3 linked regions of the Nothobranchius furzeri genome follow. The protein of the gene in region 1 purifies or fractionates together with the protein of each later gene. This does not show direct contact. Links are inferred from orthologs where the notes say so. Each region holds a gene or a part of one and is shown in the gene's direction. Other genes may lie near its edges. The genes, in order: eps15, ap2s1 and fcho2.

Region 1 (7,014 bases):
CCATGACAGCCCTACAACATCCATAGCCTTGAGATACCCAGGACGAACCTCATCCGCCCCCGGGGCTCCGCCGCTGTGTAGTTGTTTGACTACCTCAGCAACTTCTGCCCCCGAGATCGGACAGTCCATCCCCAGGCCTCCCAGCTCTGGTTCCTCCTCAGAATGCGCATTGGTGGGATTGAGGAGCTCCTCAAAGTATTCCTTCCACCGTCCGACTATAGCCTCAGTTGACGTCAGCAGCTCCCCATCCCCACTGTAAACAGTGTGAGCGAGTTGCTGCCTTCCTCTCCTGAGGCGCCGGACAGTTTGCCAGAACCTCTTTGGAGCCGATCGATAGTCTTTCTCCATGGCCTCACCAAACTCCTCCCACGCCCGAGATTTTGCCTCGGCAACTGCCACTGCTGCACCCCGCTTGGCTATCCGGTACCTGTCTGCTGCCTCCGGAGACCCACAGACCAGCCACGCCCTGTAGGCCTCCTTCTTCAGCCTGACGGCTCCCCGAACCTCTGGTGTCCACCAGCGGGTACGGGGGTTGCCACCACGACTGGCACCGGCCACCTTACGACCACAGCTAGCAACAGCCGCCTCGACAATCGCAGAGTGGAACAAGGCCCACTCGGACTCAATGTCCCCCACTGCTCTCGGGACGTGGTCAAAGCTCTGCCGGAGGTGGGAGTTGAAGACCGTCTTGACAGGTTCTTCTGCCAGGCGTTCCCAGCAGACCCTCACTATGCGTTTGGGTCTGCCAGGTCTACGCGGCATGTTCCCTTGCCATCTGATCCAACTCACCACCAGGTGGTGATCAGTTGACAGCTCCGCCCCTCTCTTCACTCGGGTGTCCAAAACATACGGTCACAGGTCAGATGATATGACTACAAAATCTATCATCGACCTGTGACCTAGGCTGCCCTGGTACCAAGTGTACCGGTGGGCATCCTTATGTTCGAACATGGTGTTCGTTATGGCCAAACTGCGGCTTGCACAGAAGTCCAATAACAAAACACCGCTCGAGTTCTGATCAGGTGGGCCGTTCCTCCCAATCACACCCCTCCAGGTCAAGCTGTCATTGCCCACGTGAGCATTGAAGTCCCCCAGCAGGACAATGGAGTCCCCTGATGGAGCACTATCTAGCACTCGTCCCAGGGACTCCAAAAAGGGTGGGTACTCTGAACTGATATTTGGCCCATACGCACAAACAACAGTCAGGACCCGTTCCCCGACCCGAAGGCGCAAGGAAGCTACCCTCTTGTCCCCCGGGGTAAACCCCAACACACAGGCAGAGAGTCTCGAGGCTAACAAAAAGCCAACCCCAGCCCTCCGCCTCTCACCCGGAGCAACTCCAGCAAAGTAGAGTGTCCAACCCCTCTCCAGGTCTCGGGTTCCAGAGCCAATGCAATGTGTCGAGGTGAGTCCGACTATATCTAGCCGGTACCGCTCAACCTCTGCCACAAGCTCCGGCTCCTTCCCCGCCAGCGAGGTGACGTTCCATGTCCCAAAAACTAGTTTCCTTGTCCGGGGATTGGACCGCCAAGGCTCCCGCCTTGGTCTGCCACCCGATTCACATTGCACCGGACCCTTCATGTTCCTCCTGCGGGTGGTGGGTCCACAGTTGGACGAGCCCATGTATCCGGTTCGGGCTGGGCCCGGCCGGGCCCCATGGGCGAAAGCCCGGCCACCAGGCGCTCGCTCACGGGCCCCAACCCCAGGCCTGGCTCCAGGGTGGGACCCCGGTAACCCTCCGGGCCGGGTACTCCGACTCTTCGTTTTCACCGCCATGAAAGATCCTTCGAACCGTTCTTTGTCTCACCCTTCACCTAAGACCAATTTGTCATGGGAGACCCTACCAGGGGCACTAAGTGCCCCAGACAACATAGCTCCTAGGATCATTAGGGCACTCAAACTCCTCCACCACAATAAGGTGACGGTTCAAGGAGGAGGTGTGCGAAATTTGTTCTCCGCAATTGACCCTGGGGGAGCGGTGAGCTGCAGACACAGCTGTGCTCAGGAACCATTTGGTGGCTTAACCCCCCAGTCCAACCCCTTAATGCTGAGTGTCAAGCAGGGAGGCATTGGGTCCCATTTTTTCAAAGTCTTTGGTATGACCCGACCAGGAATTGAACCCTGATCTCCCAGTCTCAGGGCGGTCACTCTACCACTAGGTCACTGAGCTGGTCTGCCAGGCAGCAGTATTTGTTGCCGGAGGGAGACGCGCTGCGTCACTCTCGAGATTTTGAGAAGTCAAGTGGTCACACAGGCGGAGCTGCTGAACGCTTCTTGGAAAGTCGCGTAATAGTCACAACATCACGTTGGACTTGAGAACAGAAATAAGGAAGTGACTCTATTGTTTATACATGATCAGACTTGCTGTCATGTTTTGTGAGACTCAAATTAATTAAAAATGGGTAAGTATGCTATTTATTTAAATTTGAAGTTATCAAAACTGTGGTTGGGTTTGTGCCGTAAAGCCATTCCACGTCGTAATGTCTGTTGTAAAGTACTCCACAATGTTGTAAACAGCTGCGCCGCGGCACTTGAGATAAAACTGGCACCTGTCTTCAGTGCCTAGGTGCAGCACAGCGCTTCTGGGACGCCGCGCGGCGTTCCCTGTGTACCCACTCTCATTAACTATAATGGCTTTTATTTAAAACGACGGCGCGGGTGCGGTGCGTCTGCCTTCAGTGTGCCCCAGGCTTAAGAGTCTGGTAGGAGTGACTTGCTCTTTAAATTGGAATGTCCAACCCTTTCAAGAGCAAAATAATCAACTGAATTTTTTTTAATAATGCTGCAGTTATTTTATGTTTTTATATGGTTCAAAACACCAAAAATATACACATTAATAAAAATGTTTGATCATGAAAATCTCAAAGTTTCTATCTACATCACCAGACTGCAGGAGAGACAAAATCCCACCATTCTAGAAATTCAATAATGAGGCCAAACAGTCTATGGGCCAAACAAAATCACTCCGAGGGCCACTAAGGGCCCCCGGGCCTCCTTTTGGGTGTGCCCGTATATTATGTCGATGGGCGTGCCCAGGGTTAAATGACTGGCCTGCTGTTAGTGGGTGTGATTGGACGACTCTGTATTTCGGGTCCGGTTCCAGGTTTTTCAGCGGCCTCTGTCTGTGTCTGGCAGCAGCGCAGCCTGAAAGCAGTGGGAAACAGAAACACTATGGCTGCCACTTTGTCTCTTACTCAGGTAACAGTGTCTTACAACTCAAATATAACGACAACGAACGCCGCGGGCTTCTGTCCGCGTTACTTGCGCCCAACTCAGTGGTGCTGGCCGGACTGGGCGGGCGGAAACGAGTGCTCTCCTCGACCGTCGTCGGTGTTGGGGAAGTTTTAGCCCTGCTGCGAAAAGTTTCTGTCTAATCTCTTTGGGGACTGCGTAAGGGCGTAGCTAGCCAGCTAGCCTGCCTGCTAACAGCTAGTTTATGTCCAGTGTGGGGCTGTTAGTGGGGCTTCTTTGTCAAACTTGACGTTTAGCTAACGTGACTTGGCTTTGGTTAGCAGTCTTTAAAACAACATTGCGCACCCTCTGTTAGCCGCAGGCCAGCCGGTCTTTGCTAAGAAGATGATAACCATGTGTGGCTCTCTGTTGTGGCTCTGCTGTCATATTTTAGTTGGTTAACGTTCGCTCCAAGTTTTAGTTATGTTGTGTTGCATCTTCTGCTTTCGTGTGCTTTATAAGCTACGTTGCTACTCCCATGGCTGTCTGCATGGTTACACTTGATATGGCTATAAATAGAATGAAACGTGCTTCGGTTGATGTGTTTTTATTCCTTTGACATTTTTGAAGTGGACAGACTTTATTATGTTCAATTATTTAATGTAAACGTTGAGTTAATTTTTAGTAGTGCAGCTTTAAATAATGTAAACTGTCGTTCTGAAACCAGTAAGAGGAAGTTAACTATGGCAGCCACTAGCTCGTTCTGCTGTCAGAAGTAAAAGCCTGTTGCTAGTTGGGTGAAGAACCCAAAGTTGGTGAATTGTAAGTTATTTAGCAGGTAGCGGGCAAGTTTAATTGGTATGGTCACCCGAGCCTCTGTTGCCTCTGTCAACAGAGCAGGAGCAGCGTTGTCTCTGTGTTTTCTCTTCATTGCTGCTGCTTCTTGTCTGATTAGTATCTAATCTGACCTCCATGTTTCTGCTGACACTGTTTACCATTTTATTGCTGTGACAATCAAACATGTTGAAATGTCAAAGAGAAACCAGCCTGTCCTGTTAACAAATGCAACATGATGCATCTTGTTGAATGCCAAAGTTTTGAATGAACTATGCAATAATGGTTATAGTTTTTTTTCACTTTATGGCTTTTTAAAGAGTGCAGTACAATGATGACAGTGTCACAGCCATCGATAGTTCCAGGCACACTACTGTGTTACAATTTCTGTGTGTGTGTGTGTGTGTGTGTGTGTGTGCGCGCGCGCGTCAACAGTTATCTCACTTTAAAATTGGCATTTAGTTGTCCAAAGTAGCTGACAGACAACTGCTGATGACAGGCTATGTTTTTTTTCTTATGTGCCAGAGTTGGTTACATAATTTACTCCTAAGCTGATGTTGCTGTTTTCTTCTTCATCTTCATATTGGTTTGGAGATGGAAGGAAAGCTTTTAAGACTGCTCCTCAGCACATCCACTTACCAGATAATTGCTGTCCACTCCTTTTCTCTATTTCATGGAAGCTACCATTTAGCATTTTTAGTTTAAAAACAGGGAAATGCTGATTTGTTTCCTGTTTAGCTCAGATGAGAAGAGGAAAGAAGGGATATTACATCAGAAAAGCAAATTACTCTCGAGTGTTAACATCTTGTGGCTTAGTTTGAACACAAATCACAGGCTTCCAGAAGGTATCGTCATGGTAATTCAGCTCAGAGCTTTAGTATCAGTTAGCCTTGCTTTGCAGTTTCATCACCAGAAAATAATGATTAACTTTGCTTTGTATAAAAAACACAAAGATATGTTTGTCATTTAATTTTTGCATGAATAAAGACTCACCTCTTAGAACCTGTAACAGTGAAAATCTAATTATTCAACAATCAAGAATCCCAGTAGTGGCATCACTTGTTCTTCACAAAAGTGGCATTACTTCAACGTGTCTTTGGTTTTACTGATTAATTATGATCAGTTCTGGGATAAGCTAACATTTTGTGGCATATTTTAGGCTTTATAATATTTTAAATTTAAAGGTTAAATCTACTGGTGCATGTACTCTAGTGGCTCTGTGGCTTTTTAAACTCTGTGGTTAACGTTTTCAGTTTTTGATCTTCTGACTGATTTTCTCTAGCTGCCAGATTATATTTTATTCAAATTTGTAAACTAAAAAGATTTCTTAGAGAAATACAGACATTTTAGGTTTTTGTAACTGACACTTTAAAATTTTGTTTTGGACTCTATGAAACGCATCAAATGAGGTTTGCAAAATTTACAAACATGCTTTTATTTGTTTTCAGCTTTCCAGTGGAAATCCCATCTATGACAAACATTATCGACAGGTAATGGAAACGACCACTCCTCTTCCCTTTGTTAAATTATATTATAAGCATGAATATTTATTATAGCAATTTAAATATCAGTAGTTTTTTTAACCAATGTCATTCAGTTGTGTCAAATTCAAACAGACTAACACAGAACAACCGTTTTTATCTGTTGCTTTTGTGAATTTAAAATTGAAATTAGCTGTAGAGCTTTCACTGGTGAGTTCTCTCTTCTGCCTTTTCTTTTCCAGCCTATGAATTAATAATGTTTCCCTTTGACAACCATTCAGGGAAGCTCCCTCTGGGCTTTCTAATGGAGTGCTGAGCTAATACTACAGAGATTATAATAGTTCTGGTTAAAGTGAGACACAGGCTCTTTATTCAGAACCTGTGCATCCGAGCGTCATGCACATTAAACATGCTGCTGTGGGCGTGCATGCAGGTGGATCCCACTGGCAGCGGGCGGGTAGCGGCAGCTGATGCGGCTCTGTTCTTGAAGCGGTCAGGGTTGGCTGACATGGTCTTGGGCAAGGTGAGCTAAGTTTTGTCTCAATCCCAACTTAGCGTCTCTGTCTTGGCTTCAGGGTTAACAGTAGAACTCCAAAGGCAGTCGTTTTGACTGCTTCCTGACTTATGTGTCCTTTAATTTTCATGTTAACATTGATCAAATATCAATAAAGAAATATTGTTATTTTTGTCTCTATATCCAGCCTCGCATTCCAACGGTCAGAATGCCAATCGTCATAGTGACTGCTAGTGGGAGTTCTAGTTGTGTTGGAATGCTGGCAGAACTAATGTTAGTAGTGTTTAAAATAAATGCATAATGATATCTTCGTAGATCTGGGATTTAGCTGACTCTGAAAGAAAAGGAGCGCTCAATAAACAGGTACAAACAGAGGACTTTATGTCATGGTGGGTTTATTTTTGGTGCTGGATCGACACCAGGCTTACATTATTCTTTCTAATGTCCCTTCAGCAATTCTTCGTGGCGCTGCGGTTGGTGGCTTGTGCACAGAACGGCCTGGAGGTGGCGCTTAAAAGTCTTAATGTGGCCGTTCCTCCCCCCAAATTTGTAAGTTTGTGACTGAGCCACAAATGTTCTGTAGATGGGAACTTCCTCATACACGGACACCACCTCTTTGTTTCTACTGTTCTGATTTTTTTCTTGTAGTTAAACATTTATTTCTGGTTATTACGTTTATTATACGTTTCTGTGTTTGCAGCATGACACAAATAGCCCTTTGCTAGCAGGACAAGTGGCCGCTGACGCCCCCTGGGTTGTGAAGGTGAGCAGTTTTCATTTATTAGGTACAAAGCATTTATGCTGTGTTTACTAGTGAAATCATTTGGTTTATTATTGATAACGCAGATTAGGGGTAGCCCGATATATCGGGGGGGGGATATCTCGTAGGAGTGGTGCTGGAATTTCAGCCATGTCGCAGCGCCATGCTTGAGCCTATGTAGGTGAAACAATGTCTTTGGTCATGGCTGACTCCTGTTATGAAGCCGGATATTGACTCTCTGATGAAGAAATTCA
Region 2 (6,967 bases), on another chromosome or scaffold:
GTGAATTAACACCCCCAGTAATAGTAATGCTTCTTTTTTTCTATCCATCATTGATATAAAAAATCTATAAAATAAGAAACCAAAGTATTCCTGTAGCGGAAGTTGTTTTCAGATGCATGGTCAGAATGTGACATGAATATAATAAAAGGGCTGTGTCCATATTCAGGTGCTGTTTCCTTTGAAGGACCCATCCTGGTCAACCGTGAAGACCAGAAGTGAGCAGCTGTGAAATTGGACAGTCTAGCCTTCAAATTTATGTCTGCACTTTAGTCAGCATGTAACCCGTCCCCTAGCAATCGTGACAGAGCTAAAAAAAAAAAAAGAAGAATGAATAAAAACAAACTTCTGTAAATTGAGCTTAAAATTTTGTTGTTATTTATTACCTATCTTATCCTTTTTAGGAGCTAATTCATCTTTATCACCTTACCAATTCATCCTGAGGTAGGGTGGACCATGAAGCACACGCAAAAGACCCATCCTTCAAATCCGGGGAGAAGAAGGACTTTTCACTGGTCCGTATCGGGAAGAGCCTTCACATTTAAACAGACTTTGTAGCATTGCTGTGATGTAATCAGTCTTCAAATCCAACCTTCGAAGGATGCTGCCCCTGAACTTGGACACAACCACAAACTGCTACAGATGTTTATTTTGTGCACCACCTCAAGATTATCATTGACCCCCCGCCCCCCATGGAGGCGCTCCTGTTTTCAGAGATTTTCTTTGGACTTTGTCTGCTTTCTCACTCAATTTTCAGAGGAATTTTTCTTTTTGTTTCCTTGTTGATCTTTTTAAATCTGACCCATGAATCATTCAGACATACCAAGGCTCCTAAACTAAAGCTAAACTCAAAGGATGAATCAGAGTTGTGTCAACACTGAGAATATTTTAACAACAACAAGGTGGTTCCCATGGACCTGTCAGCTGAGAACTATAGTCCTTTACAGTAGATGATCAACTAAAGGATGATGCCTCTCAACTTAGGTTTCAGTTCCGTCTTCAAAAAATGTGAATTTTAGATTCTGTTCATGTGTTATAGGCCTGATTTTTTTTATTTTATCCTCCACTTTGTCTACTGAGCACACACTCCTCAAACAGCTCTTTCCCCCACTATAACAGTATTTTAAACCTTTAAAAAGGGATAACCTGACACTCTTATTTCCATTCCTTCACAGCGGATCTCTGTTTCATGCACAGATTCAAATATTAGTCATCATCTAACATATTTGAATGTCCCATGGCTGCATCGCATAGAAAAATTTTGCTTTAAGAACCAAGAACTGTGACCTAAAAGTCTCATCCAGCAGCAGAAAGGGGGAATTTTTCCTTCCCGAGAAAATCAATCATCTCAAAGGTATTCCTAATTACTTGAGTCGTTCTCGGAGTCGTCCACTTGATAAAAGAATTACTATGAAGAGGTTTGCACTCTGATTAGTTCAGCCACTGAATGAATAATTGAATCTTCCGAGGAGGACGGTGGAGCTCTGTTTTCATATTTGAAAAATGTCTGCTGAGTAAAAGAAGACAATGGGCTTCGAGAGCTCAAACGCCAGCTTAATGTCTCTATTCTTGAAAGTCGTCACCTTTTCCACTTGTTGGTGTTTTCAGGGTCCTAGAAAATGGGCCAGTCATAGGGGTCCTCACAATCTGAGATAAAATGACCAATAATGGAGACATCATCACATTAAAATATTTCCTTATTTACGTATGAGACGCATAAAGTGTCCCACGTCTTACCTGACAGAATGAATGATTCATCCTAAATATGAGTCAGGGTTCAAGGTGTGTTGTTTGAGTGAATCCATTTGCTTCTGTCCACTGTGCTTTCATAATATTTGCATGACCTCAATCACACAAAGCAAGATTAGCCTGCAGGGTCAAAGTTCTTATTGAATAATCTGCTTCTGTTTTACGTCCCTTTATCCCAGCTTTGATCTTTTTTCATTATTATTATTATTTATTTTTCCGGGCCTTTTTTACTACCTCGTCCCTCTCCTTGAGTAATGAAATGCATCGCTGTTGAAATTATTTTCTTGCGAAACATTACCGCAGTGTTATAAATCTAAGCACGACTAAAGTCAGTCAAAGCTCACAAGCATTACAGAGGGGATAAAAACAATTTCCCTTTGTTTACACGCTTTCCCTTTTTCTTCTATTCTTTTACGTTTGCACCATTTGCAGCTGAGATATCTCTGGGTCCCAAGGGCAGGCGCATTCCTTTACACAAGAGTTGTGCAATCCCCCCCCCCCCCCCACCCCCACCCCCCCAACCTACACCTCCTCCCATCAGACTCCCTAAATGCCCAGAGCGCTCAGATCCAAGCTGTCTAAACTGTCTGTGCAGTGGCCTGTGGTGGACTGCCCAGCCAGACCCGTAAACAAATGCTAAGCCTTGATAATGCAGGAATAAAACACAAACAACTTCACAATTGTGCAGAAATGTGTGACTATATATAGATTTTTTCAGTAACCTGTAACACCTGAGACAAATTATGTATGACAAACTAATTTACAAAGGGAACATAGCCGTAGTTTTATATGATCTGTCCTTCATGTTTGTGCACTAAATCTTTCCATATAGTGCAGCATAATAGTAAAACTACAATAGCTAAGTAATTTTTCATTACCAAAATTCATATGAAATATAAAACTTTTTCAGGAATTTTTTGGCTTTTTTTTTGCCTTTTTTGACAAAAGTTTTGACTATTTATGACATTTAATCAGCTGCAATCTGTTCTTGCAATTCTTTCCATGGAAATTGCATTTCTTGCTGAAAAATATTATCATAAAAATAATGCATACATCTTAGGTTTCACAACTGAGATTGTTTTATAAAACACTTATGTTTAAATTAACTAAACGCTAACTAGTATGCTTGAATAGAATTGTGGTGGGTTGCATGAAAGCCTCTGAAATAGTTGAAATTTATTTTATTTTATTTTATTTTTTTACTAGGAACTAAATGATTGAATATCACGAACCTGTAACGCTCAAAAAATTATGTGTTAAACTGGCTTGACATATATGTTAAACTGGCTTGACATACATTAATTTGTGAAGGTTTTTCTCATGTGATCCAAAAACGCAACGAAACTCGATACGTCAATCGGGACCGCTGGTTGTTGTAGTTTCTCGTGGATTACATTGACTTGGCAGAAAAGCAGCGATGACTACGTTTCCCAGAATGCAACATAACTCGGCGTAGTTTTGCACATCCTGTTAGCTTGAGAGGATAGCGGACGAACGGGCGGAAAAAAGAGATACCGATGTTTTAATATAAAAGTGGTGCATTATTGCTCATGAACGTAATATTCTGGAGTGCCCAAGAAGCATATTAGGAAGACGAAAATGGTAAAGTTATTCAATTATTCAAGTTAATCTTTTTTTTTATTAGCCGTCAGGTTATGTTAGCGTTTAGAACTCGACAGATAAGCACTCCATTCAGTCTAGAAAACTATACTGGTGGTTAAATTGAGGGTTTAACCACAGAAAACCTCCACTTTAGCCTATGTAGATAGCATGGTGAAATTCAAGAATGTCGAAGTGTACGCATTATGTTAAAAGCTAGGTGTGGTTTAATAGTGCTACCTTTTACACCAGCCAAGCTAACGGTCAGTAATAGCTTCAGTTACTTTCACATCTCAGTAAGCTGGAGTTCCATAGCTGCCAATCTATGGTACATATTATTCCAGTGTGTTAATCATTTGTGTGGGTGGGTTTTGTTGCAGATTATTTTGTTTGATCTAATCCGTTTTCTATCCCAAAGATCCGCTTTATCCTCATCCAGAACCGAGCAGGGAAGACACGATTGGCTAAATGGTACATGCAGTTCGATGATGACGAAAAGCAGAAACTGATCGAAGAAGTGCATGCTGTGGTTACAGTCAGGGATGCCAAGCACACCAACTTTGTGGAGGTATGGGATTGTATAAATGCTTTAATGTGTGGCTGTTTTTGCAGACTGCATAGACATTAAAAAGTTAAGATTTCTAATTTTAAGTATAGCTCAATACTCTTGAAAGAGAGGCTGAAATGCAATTGGATTGTAATGTTTCATATATGGATGTTGATCAATATCTGCAGGAAAATAACATTCAAAAGAACATATTTTCTATTTATTGAACTTGGTCTGTATGTGAAGATAACGCCTTAAATACACCCTTGGGTGACTTATCATTTTTAACAAATACAGTATAATAGAAGAGGTTCCCACCTGTTTATTTTTTGCTTGTAGTAGACTTAAATATAATTATTGGTATACAAAGCCTTGAGTCTCTCAGCTCTGCTGAAACTTCTGTTACACAAATCTAAATTTCTAATTGGATTTCACCATTTTGTCCTCACAGTTCAGGAACTTCAAGATCATTTACCGACGTTATGCAGGCCTGTACTTCTGTATTTGTGTGGATGTGACTGATAACAACCTGGCATACCTCGAGGCGATCCACAACTTTGTTGAGGTAAACAATGAACACACACAAACATCCATCCATCATTTATTTATGAAGCACATTTAAAAACACAGCATTTCAGCTGTCCAGAGTGCTGTACAGGAGGTCCAAAGGCCAAAAAACAGTGGTGGGCTACTCTACAAAATAGATGAGAGAGGAGGGAAAGTATAACAAGTTGGAAGTAAAAAGAGCCCAAACTGTACAAATTGTAGAAAAAGAAAACAAGAACCTAGCAGTAGCTAATACACTTAAAATGAAATCAGTGGACATATGAACAAAACAATAACCTTATTTCGAGATAAAACACACACATGACCTGTGCTTGTCATGGTCTGGTGGGGTTTAGGAGTGTTTCTTTGTGGCTGTGATTTGTTACCTTGCAGTTCTTGAATGCCAAACTGGCTGCATTTTTGTGTGGATTAAAAACTAACATATAGTGGTTAAAAATGATCGTCATTCAGTTATGAAGGCATGGAAAGCATTCATAATAAATGTGTGATTTGGCAATTAAATGTTCACCTTATATAACATCTGTCTGGTGCAGAATGTGTCAGGAGAAAATAATTGAATTTATTTAAAATTATTTAACCTCTATTTCAGCACCGGTTTGAAACACTTAAGCATCAAATACAATTAAAGTTTTTATTTTTATATTTTGATGATTGAATGTTTTGGCTTCGAGTCTGAAACAGAAATGAGGTAAAATTTCACTATTCTGTTTTAGCAGCAGTGTTTTCAGTCTGATCTTTGTGCTTTTACAATAATAATTTTGCACAAGTGAAGCTGACGGTATCCACCTAAACTACTTTTGAAGCCTTTCTCTGAAATGGACCACCTCAGGGATTATTGAGCGGTTTATTTTTTGTTTTTGCATAGAACTGTTAAAAAACTAGGACAAAATGGTTAAATTTGTTGTTATGCTGCAGCCTTTCTGCCATTTCTCACACAATGGAAAGCAAATGGGCAGCTGTGGAAGCCAGAATAAAGTAGAAGAAAATCAATAGTAGACAATAGCTGTCCTTGTTACCGTTAGCCAACAGCTAAACCAAATCCTGAACAACAGGTTTAAAATGTTGTTTTATTTAAAGTGAATTTGGTATTTTCTGTTCTGCAGTCGCATTTCACTCGTAGGAATTGTCGGTAATTGTCGTACACACTTTGGTTGTGTAGCTTAAAATGTACATTTTTCTGTTTCTCTTTGCTGGAAGGTGCTGAATGAATATTTTCACAATGTGTGCGAACTGGATCTTGTGTTCAACTTCTACAAGGTGAGAACACACAGAGGGATTATTTTTCAGATTTGACACAATCTCTGATAGAAAGACATTACATGTATTTTTAATTGTATTATTTTGATGACAAAGAGGGGGAGTTGGGTCATGTTCGCATGCAGTTGATGGTATTTGTGCTCAGATCAGTATTTGTCCTCTCATCTGTTTTGTGCGTCTGTCTCAAGGTGTACACGGTGGTGGACGAGATGTTCCTGGCAGGAGAGATCAGGGAGACCAGTCAGACCAAGGTTCTCAAGCAGCTCCTCATGCTCCAGTCTCTTGAGTGAAAATGTGTCCTTCCTGTGCTTTTTATCTTCTGCCCAACCCGACCTTCACCATGTCCCTATCACTCTGGAAGAACCACACCATTCTCCATGCCCCTGCAGAGCCAGCTCTCATCTTCAAGACAAGGAGGGAGGGGGTTGTTTTGAATAAAAATACACAATATTGTTTACGTATGGATATGAGTTCAGCTGTTTGCCATAGCAGCCCATATGTTGCATTATTCTGATAAACTGCTATAGATGTCATCAACAAGCCTACAGTCTCAGTAGATTTTAACATTTCAAATAGTCCTGCCAATGTTATGAGCTTTGTAACTAACTGCAGAAAAGAGTTGTTTCATGTTTGCATTTATCCATGTTCACTGTGGAAATCAGTGTGAGACTGCTCTCTGTCCCAGTAACCTAAACATTTACTCAATGGCACTACTGTAACTAACAAGCACCATAAAAATAAACTGCAGATAGACCCGAGAACCCCCAACAGCTCCGTAGTTGTTTCTAGACGTCCAGTGTTGTGGGTTATCTCTGCTGAGTCCCAGCCCACCAGCGGACTACAAGTAGGAAGCTCTTCAGAGCCGTTGACCCAGCAGAGAAAGTTCATCCCAGAATGGAGCGTACTCGGGATGAGGAGCGTTTCAGTGGGGTGTTATGGTGACCGGTGACGAGAGAGAAAGTTATGTTGGATTTGTTCAGCTTTGCTTCCAATTACATCAAATGGTGCTTGTTCCCTCTTAAAACACTTAAATACAAAGAAAACCTGGACAGAGTCAGTTTTACATGAAGTGGAACTTTTGCTTTGCGTTGTGTTTGTATACACACACACACACACACACAAATATTTAGCATCTTATGTCCAGTACTGTGTAAAAAAAAAAAAAACAGCTCCTAATCATCTTGAGATTCATACATTCCTTTGATGTTTATTTGCCTAAAACCATAACATGGATGTATGGTGGATGGAAAT
Region 3 (6,250 bases), on another chromosome or scaffold:
CCAAAACACTAACATTTTTATTAAGTCTTCATTTTTTTGTAATTTAATTGTTTTCTTTATTTTTAACTATTAGCCTCATGAGTGCTATTGATTTCTGCCTCATCCTGTTGTTCTAATCCATCATTAAAGTGACAATGTTTAGTTTTTACCATTAATCTCTGGAAACATACGAATTTTGTTGAAAATGAATTCAATTATTCCCATTTGTTGAAAAATATTGGCGGTTTCGTAACATATAACCGTAAAAATCAGGTCTAAAACACATGGGAGCGGGTTAGTCTCTGGGTGATGCCATGTTAGACGCCATGTTTCCTTCTACAGGAGCCTGTGAGGACAAAATGCATTTACTGATTAGATAACGGTTACATAACTTTGACCATTCATAAATGTTGTTTGACACATTTACATCTTCACTCGTTGCCAGTGATGAAAGGGAGTCTGATATGCTTGACATTTGGCTAGAGGTTGAGCTCCCAGGGATTTTTGACCCTAATTGCCATCCGTTGGTAAGGTCTTGCTCCAACACAAAAATACTGCTTGCTTGCAGTGATTTATGTATGTACTGCCCCGTCACCAGATAAAATACACATCGTCACTTTAAAGAAATCATAAGCTTCTTTTATGATATCCTAATAATAATATTACATTGGTCAAAAAATATGAATTAAAAATAATGTTTTCTCCAAAATCATAAATGTTTGAAGCAGTTTTGATTTTGAGATATAAAAACATAATTATTTTCTGGAATTGCAGGTTTCTTGCTAAACCTCTATCCTGTTGTGTATGTCTTTATTCTTACCGTCTCTGTTAATCACAATGCCTCCTTCAGTCGACTCAGCGCCACAGAGCAGCTGCTGTGCTCCTTTGGCAGAACGCCAGCAATCGAGAGATATCTCTTTCTCCTCGTCCACATCCTCTCCGTGGGATTCACCTGAAAACCCACTCCAACCTCTCAAGCCTGCCATGGCGAGAGCCCAGAGCGCCCCCATCACCCAGCCTACCGAGCCAGTTGACCCCGTCCAAAGCATGGCTGCTGCCGGCCCTCCGAAGAGCGAGGAGGGCGTCTCCTGGTCACAGAGCCAGTGGATTGCTTTTGGTGATAACTTTGCCCCGCCTTGCCGTCGTGGCTCGGGTTCATCCGTGTTGGAGCTCCAGAGGGTTCAGGCAGGCATCAGCAGGTCAAGCCGCTTCCTGTCAGAAGACTCTGCAGACGTCTACAGCAGAGCGACGAGGTGCAGCGAGGACAGCAGCCTCAGTTTCACCGATGTCTTCGCTGATAAGGCTGCAGCTCCATCCAACAAAATGTTCACTGGTAACAATGATCCTGGCTCTCAAGACGCGTGTTATGCTCGAGGGTGTGAGTTCTGTTTACTTGCGTTTGTATGCTTTAATGCTTGAGGTTTTTAATTGTATGATTATTGCTTTCATATAGTTTTATTTTACTAATGCTTGTCTATTTTATTTGTCTTTTTGTTTATATTTCTTTGCGTGGCTTTAAGAGTATCATTTGGAACGTGCTTTACTTTTGCCTCTGTTTTTCTGTTGATGTGTTGAAATGATGCATGACAATTCTGCGTCCAACTGAACAATTCATAAAATACGCTTTTTTATAACTAATTTCCATGGTATTTCACTATTGGTAACCAGCAGGGCCCAACTGTGTTTCTCTGTCTAGTGCCATTATCGAACAGACCCACGACCCCCCTGGCAGCTGGAGCCCTTGTTCCTCCACCACGACCCTCCTCCAGGCCCAAAGTTCCCACCGGAAAACTCACAGGGATCAATGAAATTGTGAGTGAAGTGAAAATGGCTGTTGTTTCAACTTCTGGGAATCAGCAGCAGACGTCTCAGATAGTAGAAGCTAAATATTAGCATTAGCAACTCTACCACACGGCAGAAGCTCCTCCAGGCTTGTGTCTGGAAGAAGACGCTAATACATCCTTAAAGGACTTAAGTACTTCTATCTGCTCTTAAAGAGCCCAAGTCAGAAGTTGATGCCAAAGCTGTTTAAAATGAGCCGTCGTCATCTTTATTTTGCTCTGACACAGTAAAATCCCGCCCACCAAAGTGATAGAGGGCTATGATTGGCCAGCCACAAAACTGGCTGGGCCTGCTGAGGCTCTAATGGAGCGTGGCTAGACCGACCTGCAGAGCAAAATCATTCTGCTCTGCAGGTCGGTCTAGATTTCTAGGCTACTTTAAAAGTACAATAAATAAGAATTTCACACTGAAATAACACAAAACACAGTCATGCCTGATCTTAACATTGAACTGATGTCTATTTGAATACACACTAATATTTTTATTCCCGGACTCAGGTACGACCATTCAGCCCACAGAAAGCAACTAACGCCAGCCCTCCTCCAACTGCACCACTCGCCCGGGCTGAGAGTTCCTCCTCTTTGTCTTCAAATGCGTCACTCAGCGCCGGCAACACTCCCACCGTTGGTAGGAGCTCTTCCTGGTTGTAAAACCCCTTTTTCATAAATAAGTGTATCCTATTTTTCCCTCAATCCCCACATACCTCTGTTTCTGCACCTACTTCCTTCTTTCCTTCACTCCTCTCTACGCAGGACCTGAACACACTTTTGCTTCCCACTTTTGCTTCCTAGAGCCAGAGCTCTTCACCTTCCAACCTCCTTTCCTTCTAGGCCCGAGTGAGTCTCACACTTTGAACATGTTTCTTTGAGAGACTCCTTCCACTTCCACAGTGATTCCTTAATCTTTATGAATGCGTTTTAAGGTTTATCGAGTTTTTGTCACTTGTTCTCAGTACACTATTAATACAAAACTGTCTGTGAAAAACAAACTATTAAAGAAATAGAAAACAATCCAACCAAGACTTGTAGATCAAGCATGTCCAAAGTGGGGTCAGGGGGCCGATTGTGGGCCATGAAGTGATTTTGTGCGGCCTACACAAGCATTTCTAGAATCATGAAATGTCTTTCTTCAATGGGTTATTGGTGTCGATAAATACTTTTTATCTTAAGATTTATACTAATATGACTACTTTGGATCAAATTTGAGCATTGCAAAACAAAAGATAAATAAATCACTATATAATAATTTTTGCGTTTCTTGAATGAAAAGTTTGAGCATCCCTGTTCTAGATCAGGGGTGCCCAAAGGTGGGACCCACTTATCTCCAGAAGTAGAGTGATTTAAATTTTGAAAACTGATGATTTTTAAAGCACGTAAAGTCCAATAAAGAAAGAAGACGTGATGCTTCAAAACATTTCAGCTCAAAACAAGAATGTCTGCCTTCTTTAATAAAAAAAACAACCAACAATAAGCCACTCTATAATATATTTTTATAAATCCGTTGTTCATCTGTCTGTGATTGTAGGCCCTGTCCACACGTAGCCGGGGATCTGCCAAAACGTAGATATTTTTCTACGTTTTGGCCTGTCATCCACATGAAAGCAGAGTTTTTTCACACGAAAACAGATCTTTTTAAAAACTCCGGCCAAAGTGAAGATCTGCGTTTTCTCCGTTTTGGGTGTCTGCGTGTGGACAGACAGAACCGGAGTTTTAAGGTCCACAACGTCATTTTCCGCGACAAAAAAAATGCTGACATCACGTGTGCGACCTGTGTTTACACTAGCCGACAGCATGGATGCCATCAGAGCTGCGCTCGCTTTATCAATTGTCCAAGCGCTTTCTGCTTGTTTGTTTTTGCAAGTGGAATTACTGCTCCTTGCGGAAGACCACAGACGAAGGACGAGGTTAAGAACGGGGGAAGTACTGCCGCCTACAGGTCTGGCATGTCCTTAACAACATATTTATCCGGGTACGTGTGGACAGAGTTTTTTTTTTTAAACGCAGTGGTGTGGATGCAAGTTTTTGGAGGGGCGGATATTCGTTTTTAAAAAAACCCGGCTACGTGTGGACTAGGCCGTAGTCTCTTTGGGGCTCACTTGTCGTCACACGCTTAAAACCGGTTTCCAGTGCTGCCCAGCATCATCTCTCCTCTCACTGTGCTCTCTGGGTTTGTGTCTTCCTCTTTCCTGGTTGTGCCTTTAATGTGGTGTAAAGAGGATGACGTGTTCATAGCGAAGCTGCCCACCTTTGAGAAGCTGTGTGAAACACCAGCAGGTATGAAGTTCACCCTAAAGGAGCCAAATGAAGAAAACCAACAGCAGTAACGGAGACGTTACTTTGCAGCTTCCTGTTGTGTCTGCTCTTCTGCATATGCTGCCTGTTTCTCTGCTTCTACTCCTAACATGAATGATTTGTTTATTTATGCTTTTAGTGTTGGTATAAAGGTTGCTCTAAATGTCAAAATTTGGTTTAATTTGATTAAAACTTCTGTTTTAAATAACAATGTGCTTGTTTGCAGTGTTAAAAATGCTGACCTGATGAAATGCAATAATGATTAAACCCAGTCTCTGAATAGTTTAAACTCTCTCTGGTTTTGCTCATTTTGAACTGCAGCCGAGTCCACAGACCCTTCACGTTGTGCCTTTTTCTTTCTCAGGAACGTCTCGCGGTCCCAGTCCTGTGACCTTGGCATCCCAGGATGCTTTGCCCATTGCCGTTGCCTTCACAGAGTCGGTTAATGCATACTTCAAAGGAGCCGATCCCACAAAGTGAGTCTCACATGACCTCCTGCTGCTCAAATACCTCAACACGGACTTGCACGTTGTCTTTATAGCTGAACCACATTATCTGAGTTCTGCAGTTCAAAGTTGAATACCGCTCGTTTTCTAGCCCGTTGCGCCCTACAGCTGTCATCTTCCTCTCTCTGCTCAAATGTGGAATGTTTTGCTGGAGTATGACACCATTCTTTCAGGATAGATAACCCACACGAGGCAGATTATAGTCCGAGGCAGAGAAAAACACAGTCTTTTATTGGTTAACTGCTGTTAAATTGCTGCTGCGCAAAGGCTTATTTTTCCAAGGGATTAGCAAATGGAACATTTCATAAGCAATGCAGCAGAGACACGGCGCAAAGTTGAGACCCACTGTGGTCCTCCACCACCACCACAGACGAGAGCAGGCCCACTACTGATGACGGACTACTTTCAGCCACCAAATTACTTAGAAACTGGATCTACGTTGCACAACTAAAGCAGAATATTACAAGCTAGACTCTAAGGTTAACTTAAAGACTAGGATACAGCTGAAGTTGGGAGTTTTCTGTGTTAAACTAGATATAGTGTGTTTGTTATAGAGAATTGTTGTGTTGGGATCTATAGAAGCAGTAAAAAGTGGGGCTGGGCAATAAATAAAAAAAATGAATGTTTATTGAAATTTCTGGCTCTTACCGATATCGTTTTTCCCATGTCAGTAAATTCAGTAATAAAAAAAATGAAAATATGTGTGCAGGTTGGCGACATTCATGTCCCTTTATGAAGCTGTACCACCTCTAGTCACGGAAAAACATCACTCAACATAATACACGTGACAGCTCCATCTTTTGTTTCTGCACATACGTGTAGTTATCGTCCAGTTATCGATATCGAGGTGAAGTCCTCAATATATTGTGATATTGGTTTTAAGCCAACACACAGGCAGAGAGTCTTGGGCCTAACAAAAAGCCAACCCCAGCCCTCCGCCTCTCACCCGGAGCAACTCCAGCAAAGTAGAGTGTCCAACCCCTCTCAAGGACTCGGGTTCCAGAGCCAATGCTATGTGTCGAGGTGAGTCCGACTATATCTAGCCGGTACTGCTCAACCTCTGCCACAAGCTCCTGCTCCTTCCCCGCCAGCGACGTTCCATGTCCCAAAAGCCAGTTTTCTTGTCCGGGGATCGGGCCGCCAAGGCTCCCGCTTCGGTCTGCCACCCGATCCACATTGCACCGGACCCTTCATGTTCCTCCTGCGGGTGGTGGGTCCACAGTTGGATGAGCCCATGTATCCGGTTCGGGCTGGGCCCAGCCGGGCCCCATGGGTCAAAGCCCGGCCACCAGGCGCTCGCTCACGGGCCCCAACCCCAGGCCTGGCTCCAGGGTGGGACCCCTGTAACCATCCGGGCCGGGTACTCTGACTCTTTGACTTTACCTCCATGACAGATCTTGTGAACCGTTCTTTACATCACACCTAAAGCAGTGATTGTAAGAAATTTTACATCACATGTTGTCTTTTGCTTCTTCAGTTTTTTCATCACGTTTTTTGTTATTAACCTGCAGCTTTATGGCAGATAATAAAAATAAATGAACTCTGATCCGACGCACTCCACAGGTGCATTGTGAAGATCACAGGAGACATGACGTTGTCGTTCCCTATGGGCATCATCAAGGTGTTCACCAC

What was found.
Region 2: the proteins of eps15 (region 1) and ap2s1 purify together in Homo sapiens (affinity purification with mass spectrometry; 5 studies listed by BioGRID and IntAct, counting the BioPlex papers as one, with this or other methods). This does not show direct contact. The link is inferred for Nothobranchius furzeri from reciprocal best matches to the Homo sapiens genes EPS15 and AP2S1.
Region 3: the proteins of eps15 (region 1) and fcho2 purify together in Homo sapiens (affinity purification with mass spectrometry; 3 studies listed by BioGRID and IntAct, with this or other methods). This does not show direct contact. The link is inferred for Nothobranchius furzeri from reciprocal best matches to the Homo sapiens genes EPS15 and FCHO2.

What each region holds. Positions count from the first base shown.
Region 1 is NC_091748.1:56,886,592-56,893,605, reverse strand, and holds the start of eps15 (epidermal growth factor receptor substrate 15), read left to right. Parts: upstream 1-3,027; 5' UTR 3,028-3,042; coding exon 3,043-3,198; intron 3,199-5,453; coding exon 5,454-5,495; intron 5,496-5,919; coding exon 5,920-6,009; intron 6,010-6,315; coding exon 6,316-6,363; intron 6,364-6,453; coding exon 6,454-6,549; intron 6,550-6,700; coding exon 6,701-6,763; intron 6,764-7,014. UniProt on the Homo sapiens protein: Involved in cell growth regulation. May be involved in the regulation of mitogenic signals and control of cell proliferation. Involved in the internalization of ligand-inducible receptors of the receptor tyrosine kinase (RTK) type, in particular EGFR.
Region 2 is NC_091753.1:41,291,769-41,298,735, forward strand, and holds ap2s1 (AP-2 complex subunit sigma), read left to right. Parts: upstream 1-3,195; 5' UTR 3,196-3,345; coding exon 3,346-3,348; intron 3,349-3,763; coding exon 3,764-3,913; intron 3,914-4,343; coding exon 4,344-4,457; intron 4,458-5,656; coding exon 5,657-5,716; intron 5,717-5,904; coding exon 5,905-6,006; 3' UTR 6,007-6,477; downstream 6,478-6,967. UniProt on the Homo sapiens protein: Component of the adaptor protein complex 2 (AP-2). Adaptor protein complexes function in protein transport via transport vesicles in different membrane traffic pathways.
Region 3 is NC_091746.1:66,647,912-66,654,161, reverse strand, and holds part of fcho2 (F-BAR domain only protein 2), read left to right. Parts: intron 1-829; coding exon 830-1,357; intron 1,358-1,675; coding exon 1,676-1,791; intron 1,792-2,318; coding exon 2,319-2,448; intron 2,449-2,573; coding exon 2,574-2,657; intron 2,658-4,034; coding exon 4,035-4,094; intron 4,095-4,476; coding exon 4,477-4,588; intron 4,589-6,181; coding exon 6,182-6,250. UniProt on the Homo sapiens protein: Functions in an early step of clathrin-mediated endocytosis. Has both a membrane binding/bending activity and the ability to recruit proteins essential to the formation of functional clathrin-coated pits.